2 linked regions of the Oryctolagus cuniculus genome follow. The protein of the gene in region 2 binds, or shares a complex with, the protein of the main gene of each other region. Links are inferred from orthologs where the notes say so. Each region holds a gene or a part of one and is shown on either strand. Other genes may lie near its edges.

Region 1 (4,772 bases), on a different chromosome or scaffold from region 2:
TTTTAGCCCTTAACACCTAAAGCTAGATCAGTTTGAGACACGCAGTAACGGGTGAATTATGCACCTTGGAGAAAGCTCCTCTAAGTCACACCATAGCAGGGCACGCTTAATGACAGTGCAGAGATGTGGCCGCAAGTTTATCCCTCCGTGTTTATCTCAGTACATTTGTCACGTGAACTGGATCATGGAGAGGATTTTCCCACTGCTTGAAAGAGTAAACCATTTTTAAACACCAGAGTGTCACTTAGCTTTCATTTAGTGATTCTGCTTTTTATAAATTATTGGGTGCTTTTTTCCCAAGATTTATTTATTTATTTGAAAGTCAGAGTTACAGAGAGGCAGAGGCAGAGAGAGAGAAAGAGAGAGAGAGAGGTCTTCCATCCGCTGGTTCACTCCCCAAATGGCCCCAACGGCCGGAGCTACACTGATCCGAAGCCAGGAGCCAGGAGCTTCTTCCAGGTCTCCCACGCGGGTGCAGGGGCCCAAGGACTTGGGTCATCTTCTGCTTTCCTAGGCCATAGCAGGGAGCTGGATTGGAGCAGCAGGGACTCGAACCAGTGCCCATATGGGATGCCAGCACTGCAGGCAGTGGCTTTACCTGCTACGTCACAGCACCAGCCCCCTAAAAATTATTGTTTAATTATTACAGCAGATCCTTTATTTAAAGGCCTCTACAAGGAAACTTAACCTTCAGCCAGCCAAGTAACTGTAGTTACAGTACTACATTGCTTTTCAAATATTACCGACTTACGGGTTTTTCACAAAGCACATGCTTTTCTCATGACTCCTCCTCCCCTGTCTCCCCCCATCTCACCATGTGGATTCTTTACCCAATATTCTTTGTTGCTGTTTAGTTTCTCTCTTGTGCTAAGCAAAGACAGTGGCTAGAATTTTGGTTGTGGAGGTCTGAAGCTTGTCTATTTCTACCATGAATTCATATTCCAAATGGGAGAATGGCTGTGTCCTGGCTTTTTCAAGGACTGCCATGACTGATTAAGCAATGAAGGATCAAGTTTTTTTTTTTTTTTTAAAGATTTGTTTGTTTATTTGAAAGGCAGAGTTACACACACACAGAGAGAGAAACAGAGCGAGAGGTCGTCCATCTGCTGGTTCACTCCTCAAATGGCCACAATGGCCAGAGCTGAGATGATCCAAAGCCAGGAGCTGGGAGCTTCTTCCAGATCTCCCACGCAGGTGCAGGGGCCCAAGCACTTGGGCCATTTTCCACTGCTTTCCCAGGCCATAAGCAGAGAGCTGGATGGAAAGTGGAGCAGCCAGGACACGAACTGGTACCCCTATGGGATGCTGGCCCCGCAGGCAGAGGCTTAGCCTGCTACGCCACAGTGCCGACCCCAAGTTGTTCTGACACCTATGAGAGGACAAGTGACGACGAGAGTCATTCCTCCCCTTTCTCCTGCCTGAATCTTTCTGGAGTGCCTCTGAGGTCCCCTAGCATTTGCCAGGCCGCCTCAGAGGATTAAGGAGTTGAGAGTCTCTCCGGAGGCAGCCTCATTCCCTCTGGGGCAGCTTGAAGTGCTGGAGAAAACTTTTCTGATGCAAACCCAGCCTGCTTCTCCCAGGCTTCCACCAGGCTTGGCAGCGTGGCCTAGAGCTCCCCAGGCCCCTGTGCCCCTGTGCGGGCTGTCAGGGGCTGCGCCTCTGAGCCTGCAACCCGACAAAGGCAGAAGGGCCACCCTGCTGCCTGTTCTGCTGTAGAACTGGGACCCCTTGCAAAGGAAGAAGCAGACAGCCAAGGGTCCAGCTTGTGGCACAGTGTCCCCCTTCTGCTGGAGGTCATCTGATTGCTACCAGGGACCTGCCCACAAAGCCGCTCACTTGCTACCTAAAGACACGGGAGACTGAGACACACCTGTATGACTTGACATGAGCGTGCTTACCTGGGGAGTGGAATACGGAGCTGGGGCCAGTGCGCATGCCTTCCTGGGAAGAACACAGAGGAATTCGAGGCCTCATCCTGCCTCTGTGTTTGCCAGCAGGATCCTGTGGCTGTGTCCCACCATTCGCTCAATGCAACTACAAGTAGCTGTACAAGTTCAAGGGGAAGATGGATGAGGCTCGAGCCTGCCTTTTCTGAGAGCTTTTTGTCAGGTTGCCTGGGGGTGCCTACATGTGCTTGTCCCCGGGGTGCATACATGTGCTTGTCCTGTACCCACAGGAGTGGCTCCAGGAGCAATGGGAGGCGGCTCTGCGTGAGTCTAGGCTGTGTTGGGAGTGAGCCTGCTGGCGCCAATCAGAAGCACCTGCGCACACGGGGGAGGTGGCAAGGAAAAATTTGCCTTCTGAATCGGTGCAGAATGATGTTTCATTGGCAATGGGGACTGGAGGAGCTGGGTGTCCTGATGCTTCTGCTTCCGCCTTCTCCCCGCTAACGTGAATTCTCCCCCCGTCTCTTCCTGCAGAGAGCCCGGCAGGCATGATGAGCATCAAGGCCTTCACCCTGGTGTCTGCCGTGCAGCGCGAGCTGCTGATGGGCGACAAGGAGCACATCCACATCGCGTGCGTCGAGTGCTGCGGCAAAAACCTGTACGTGGGCACCAACGACTGCCTCATTTACCACTTCCTGCTGGAGGAGAGGGCGCTGCCCGCCGGGCCGGCCACGTTCACCGCCACCAAGCAGCTGCACAGACACCTGGGCTTCAAGAAGCCCGTGAACGAGCTGCGGGCAGCCTCGGCCCTCAACAGGCTGCTGGTGCTGTGCGACAGCTGCATCACCCTGGTGCACATGCTGAGCCTGGAGCCCGTGCCCTCGGGGGCCCGCATCAAGGGGGCCGTGAGCTTCGCCCTGAACGAGAACCCCGTGAGCGGGGACCCGTTCTGCGTGGAAGTGTGCATCATCTCCGTGAAACGCCGAACCATCCAGGTGTTCCTGGTGTACGAGGACCGGGTGCAGATCGTCAAGGAGGTGTCGACCCCAGAGCAGCCCCTTGCCGTGGCTGTGGATGGCCACTTCCTGTGCCTGGCCCTCACCACGCAGTACATCATCCTGAACTACAGCACGGGGGCCTCCCAGGACCTGTTTCCCTACTGCAGCGAGGAGAAGCGGCCCATTGTCAAGAGGATAGGGACACAGGAGTTCCTGCTGGCGGGCCCGGGAGGGCTGGGTGAGGACATTGCCTTAGAGCCGCTGCCCCGCCCCCTCCCTCCTGGGTGGGGGGGTGGGGGGGTGTCCCAGGGGTGAGGCTTTAGCTGTGAAAAGGTGTCGCTCCCCCTCTTCGTGGAGGAACGACACAGGACCCTGCGCTGTTCTTTCGTCTGCTCGGCCCTCCCCGGGTTTGCTGCTGGTTCTTCCCGGGTTGGCTACTATCCCTTCCACCTCCGTGGAAGGGCAGTTCCCCCTGGCCGCATTCCCCACTTCCGCAGGGGAGCGGCACACCGCCGGCCGGCTTTCTCGGGGGCTGCACGGGTTCCCTTAGATGTTCCCCATAGATGTTCCCGGTGCATGCCGTCTCTCTCCTCCTTTATAGTCCTCCTCCGCCAATCCCAACTCGGCTGAGTACGCTGCTCTCCAATCAGGAGCAAGTCCTACAGTTAATTGGTTGAACTGGAGGCAGCTGTGCGGAAGCTGTTTACTTCTCTCCCAGCGCCATATTGTGGGAGAGCAGATGCATAGAATGAGTCTTAATTCGAGTAACAGTCTAGTCCGGTTTGCTCCCCACAGATCCCCCTTTCTTTTTATTTTTTAGCGTTGATACGCGCCTGTCTTCGGTGTCCCGCGGCACACACTCTGCTGTACTTGCTAGAGTTGCCACAGGCTCTTACAAGTCCTATCAATCAGGAAAACCGAATCCGGGTCCTCTCTTCGCCATTGTGAGGAGGTTTTTAGGCGCTGATGCGTGCCTGTGTTCGGTGCCCTGCAGCGCATGCTCTGGTCGAGCCTGCAGGGGCTTACAAGCTCTATCAGGCAAACCGAATCCAAGCCTTCTAATTGGCATGTTGAGGGGAGGCCTTATTTTTCTCTATTTCTCTATCTCCGGGCATTCCTACCTCTCCCATTTCACTTCTATCTTCCAGCATTCCCATTTCTCTTTTACTTCACTTCCAAACTTCTGTTTCTCTTATCCCTACGGCTTTCCGGCACCTCGCCCCGCCGGCGGGTTCCCGGCTCTGCGCCGCTTCAGCCCGCGCGCCTCTCTGCGCGGCTTCCCGGCTTTGCGCGGTCCGCGGTCTCCACGCTTAACCCTTTCGCGTCTGAACCACGGCCTACGCCAGCGTTCCCTATCTATTCACGCCCCGTGCTCTCTCTGCACGCGGCGGCTTCCGCGAGTAACACAGCGTAGCTTGCGTCTCCGCCACTAGGATTCAATCTAAGTTCCCCGGGCTAGCCTGGCGAATTCAACCCAGCGTACGTCTCCGCCCCACGATCTGGCTTCCCGTCCTTTGCTCCCCGGGCTAATCAGACGGATCCCAATCTGGCTTACGTCTCAGCTTCTGGTTTTAACTTTTCGCCCCCTATTCCCGGGCTAACTTGAGAATCCCAAAGTGGCTTTCGTTTCCGCCTTGGCCTGCCCCCCGCGGCTTCAATTTCCCTAACATTTTTCTCTACCCGGTATGTTTCCCTAAGTTTTCTTCCAACAATATTCCTCCCTCATTTCTCCTGGCCTCTCCCCACAGTCCGCGTCCGAGTCTGTTTGTTCTAGCTTTCACTTTCGCTTTCGACCTTAGAGATTTCTCCCAGCTTCCCCCCGTAGTCCGTATCCGAGTCTATGCCTAGGCTTTCAATAGCTTCTTCCGGCTCCTTTTTCGTCCGGCTT
Region 2 (4,772 bases):
TAGTGAATTATAGAACCCGATGGGAGATTATGGGCATCTCTGAATTTGTGGCCAAGTTAGACAGAAGTGTGGGTAGCCTAGAATCTGCTTTGTGACTGGCATTTAAATTAAGAGCAGTCTTATACCACTGAAGCCTCAAACCTGGACATTTCTAACTGCAGGTGGTTAATATAAGAATTGATTAGAATTGTGAGCCACTCAGATGATAATTAGAGAACTGGTGTCATAACCAGTGTTGGAAGACATTATATATTTAGAATCGGAAAGAACTTGAGAGCAGTTATTCAAAACATGTTTGCCATTTCATTGACTAAACTCCTCAGGACAAGACCATGTTTGCACACAGTGAACATCACGCTGTTCAAAACTGATTCAGTGAATATATAAATGGGGTGCCTACCACTGGGGTAGAGAAGTTCTCAATTGTTCTTTGGAAGAGAAGCTAGTCAAGAGGTCCTCCCTGGCTCTCCTTTAAAGCTGATGAAACAAACCAAGAAAAGTGACAAGTCTAGCTTTTCAGTATGTGACGCCAAGGCTGACTACAGCACACGGTGCCACAGAGGAAGGACATGCAGCAGCAAGTGTGGAACCACTTCAGAGGAGGAGCACCCTAGAGGATGGCACAGTGATTAAGTCACAGCTGTGACTTGTCTTCTTCACACTGAACTTCTTCTCTACACTGAACACCTTGTGCTGTCAAGTTCTGCTCTTGCAAAAGCTACCAAGCAGTAGAGTTCAAACTCTGCTCTACTGCCTGCTTAAAAACCAAGGTTGGGGGTGGGTATTGTGGCACACTGGGTTAAGCCATTGCTTGTGACACTTGCATCCCATATCAGAATCCAGTTCAAGTTCCAGCTACTCTGCTTCTGATCCAGTATTCCTACTACTGCACCTAGGAGACAGCAGATAATGGGTCCAGTGCTTGGATCCCTGCCACCCATGTGGGAGACCCAGATTGAGTTCTGGGCTCTTGGTTTCACCCTGACCTAGCCCTGGTTGTTACAGGCATTTGAGGGAGTGAATCTGTAGATGGAAGACTCTCTCTCCTCTTTCAAGTACATGAAAATAAATAATAGTAAACATTAAAAAACAATAATAGCATATCCACTCTGTCAAATAAGTGTGATCTGTAAAAAAAAAAAAAAAAAAAACAAACAGGCCGGCACCACGGCTCACTAGGCTAATCCTCCACCTTGCGGCGCTGGCACACCGGGTTCTAGTCCCGGTCGGGGCACCGGATTCTGTCCCGGTTGCCCCTCTTCCAGGCCAGCTCTCTGCTATGGCCCGGGAAGGCAGTGGAGGATGGCCCAAGTGCTTGGGCCCTGTACCCCATGGGAAACCAGGAGAAGCACCTGGCTCCTGCCTCCGGATCAGCACGGTGCGCCGGCTGCAGTGCGCCGGCCGCGGCGGCCGTTGGAGGATGAACCAACGGCAAAGGAAGACCTTTCTCTCTGTCTCTCTCTCTCACTGTCCACTCTGCCTGTCAAACAAACAAACAAACAAAAACCCTAAGGCTTTTTTTTTTAATCTAGTCTATTATACTCCAAAAGCAATAAAAACTACTCAAATGAACACTACTGCATTACGTACTTTGAAGACAGTTACCTGGCTGAGAAAACCATGCACAAGCACATGTTTATGCACTTGTATCAGCCCTACATTAAAGTGCTAATTCTGTACTCTTTAGTGTACAGGTAGTTCCTCATTAGATAAACATTCTTTTTTTAAAAAAAGACATTTATTTATCTGAAAGCAGAGCCACAGAGTGAGACAAGGAGAGACAGAGACAGAGGGGGAGAGGGAGAGAGTCCCCCAACCATTGGCTCACTCCTTAAATGGTCCCAGCAACTGTGGCTGGGCCAGGCCAAAGCCAAGAGCCCTGAGCTTTCTCCAGGTCTCCCAAGTGGGTGCAGGAGCCTAAGAACCAGAGCTGTCTGCTGCTGCTCTCCCAGGCCCACCAGCAAGGAGCTGGACCGGTAATGAAGCAGTGGACTCAAACTGACACCCATATGGGATGCTGGTGGTGCAGGCTGTGGCTTAACCTGCTGTGCCATAGCACTGGCCCCAGCCAAATGTTCTTACAAGGAGACTTGTGTACAACTTCTCCGTTCAGCTGGATCTCAGGCTTCTCAAAGGCAGAAAACATCTCCTGTTGCCCTCAAAGCCATGTTGTTCAGTGCTAGGCAGAGAGGAGAGTCTTTTCAAACACTAAGACAGACTAAAAAGATGTCATGCACTCAGTACTCATCAGGTAAACTTGCTGGAGCCTACAGGACCTGAAGAAAATGAGACCACACCTAAAAGACTAGCAAGAAACAACCACCTGCATCTTGCCATTAACAAAAGTCTTACCTGTGATGGGGTTATCCTTCCCTTTTTAACTTCAGACGAATTTTCACTTAGTTTTCCTACTTTGTTACTTGAGCTGCATTTGTAACATGTCCATCTTGTTTGGCCTTCAACTTCTATGGTGCATTCTTTGTTTTGTAGACAGAATGAGTGATACAAATGGCCACAGCTGCAAAATGAAGGCAATCAATTTTCACTTTTCATTATAATAAAAACCATAAATGTTAAGTTATTATACAGAGTATTTACAAGCAATAAAGATTTCCAATAAGCTGCAGTGCACTGAGGGTTGTAGGAAACAAGAAAGGAAAGGTACTTCTTGTGGTCCTCTCCTTATAAAAATCCAGACTCAGGAGCCACCACTGTCCTGCATGGGTTAAGCTGCTGCCTGCAGTGCTGGCATCCCATATGGGCAAGTTCTGGCTGCTCCACTTTCCATCCAGCTCCCTGCTAATGTGCTTGGGAAAGCAGCAGAAGATGGCCCACGTACTTGGGTCCCTGCATCCGTGTGGGAGTCCAGGAAAAAGCTTCCAGCTTCAGCCTAGCCCAGCCCTGGCTGTTAATGGCCACTTGGGGAATGAACCAGTGGATGGAAGATCTCTCTCTCCCTCTTTGTGTCTCTCCATATCTCTCCCTCTCTCTCTGTAACTTTGCCTTTCAAATAAATAAATCTTTAAAAAAAATCTCGACTCACATGTTTGTATATTTAACTTGTGAGTAGGAACAAAATCACAGTTCCCTAGTTACAAACCACCTGGAGGATGAGTTGAACTTCTGTTCATTTCTCAAACTATGAAATTTTGACAGTATTTTTAGATAGCTTGAAAAAAAGGCAATCGGGAAAAGTCATAATTATGTAAGTAGCTTGATAATGACATGAGTGATCTGCCTCATAAATTCAAGGCAACAGTTATGATTGGCTTAAACACTTACAAAAATGTCACTGCTATACAGTAAATTCTTAAAAAGAATTAACAAATGAGGCTTCCAAAAATTGAGAGCTGAGATTACTCTCAGTCACCTTCATTTTCCAACCTGAAAGTTGGACTATCTCAGAAGTTAATTCTTCTTTCTTTCTAGTCCCATAGTCTTTATAATCTTGCTCTCCTCTTTCTGTCCCCCACATATGTAACCTGTTTTTTCCCATACTCTTTTCTATAACTGGCCTTGCTCCTTTAGAGATTACTTCTAGCTCCATAGCTCTAAATTATCTCCCATTGCTCCTAATCACCACATTAACCGCTTCAGCACAGACCTCTCCTGAACCCCCATCTCTCTACTTGAGGTATCTAACAGGTGTTTTAAACATAACATGTCCAGTCCTAGAGGTCTGGCTTCCACCCCACCCCATGTTCTCATTCAAAGTTCTACAACTTAGTAATGGCAATTATATCCTTCTGGTGTTTCAGACTAAAACTGACCATTCTTTCTTTCATACCCCACACCTAATCTATTATCAAATCCTAGCAGCTCCACCTTTATAATATATCCAGACTCCTGCTTCTCCCTTCTTTACTGTCCCCCACGCCACCTCTCACATGGCTCCTGCCACAGCCTAGCTAGCTGCTCTGCTTTCTCTGTGACCCCCTATATCCCTTCACTACATGGCCATAAGAGTGATCCTTAAGGGGCCAGCACCATGATGTAGCGGGTACAGACATATGGGTGCCAGTTTGAGTCCTGGTTGCCCCACTTCCAATCCAGCTCCCTGCTCATGTGCTTGGGAAAGCAGTAGAAGATGGCCCAAGTCCTTGGGCCCCTGCACCCATGTGGGAGATCTGGAAGAAGCTCCTGGCTTCGGCCTCACCCAATCTCGCCATTGTGGCCATTTGGGGAGTGAACCAGCAGATGGAAGGCTTCTCTCTCCAACTCTGACTTTCAAATAAACAAACAAATAAAACTTTAAAAAAAAAAGTGATCCTCAGATACAAGTCATATCATGCCATCCTTAACCTCAGAATCACCCAATGCCTTCTCATCTCTGAGTAAAAGATAAACTTTTTATAATGATCCAATCCAGCTCCTACATAATTTGGCCTGTGCTCCTCCTCTGAAGTCTTCTTTCTTTTTTGACAGGCAGAGTGGACAGTGAGAGAGACAGAGAGAAAGAAAGGTCTTCCTTTGCCGTTGGTTCACCCTCCAGTGGTTGCCGCGGCCGGCGCACTGCGCTGATCTGAAGGCAGGAGTCAGGTGCTTCCTCCTGGTCTCCCATGGGGTGCAGGGCCCAAGCACTTGGGCCATCCTCCACTGCACTCCCTGGCCACAGCAGAGAGCTGGCCTGGAAGAGGGGCAACCGGGACAGAATCTGGCACCCCGACCGGGACTAGAACCCGGTGTGCTGGCGCCGCTAGGCGGAGGATTAGCCCGTTGAGCCACGGCGCCGGCCTGAAGTCTTCTTTCAACACTTTCCTTCTCCTGCGTCT

The links. The genes of interacting proteins can lie anywhere in the genome.
Region 1: VPS8 (region 2) and TGFBRAP1 share a complex: the UniProt entries of both Homo sapiens proteins name them as parts of the putative class C core vacuole/endosome tethering (CORVET) complex. The link is inferred for Oryctolagus cuniculus from reciprocal best matches to the Homo sapiens genes VPS8 and TGFBRAP1.

What each region holds. Positions count from the first base shown.
Region 1 is NC_091433.1:103,287,942-103,292,713, forward strand, and holds part of TGFBRAP1 (transforming growth factor-beta receptor-associated protein 1), read left to right. Parts: intron 1-2,420; 5' UTR 2,421-2,434; coding exon 2,435-3,122; intron 3,123-4,772. UniProt on the Homo sapiens protein: Plays a role in the TGF-beta/activin signaling pathway. It associates with inactive heteromeric TGF-beta and activin receptor complexes, mainly through the type II receptor, and is released upon activation of signaling.
Region 2 is NC_091435.1:94,614,099-94,618,870, reverse strand, and holds part of VPS8 (vacuolar protein sorting-associated protein 8 homolog), read right to left. Parts: intron 2,519-4,772; coding exon 2,353-2,518; intron 1-2,352. UniProt on the Homo sapiens protein: Plays a role in vesicle-mediated protein trafficking of the endocytic membrane transport pathway.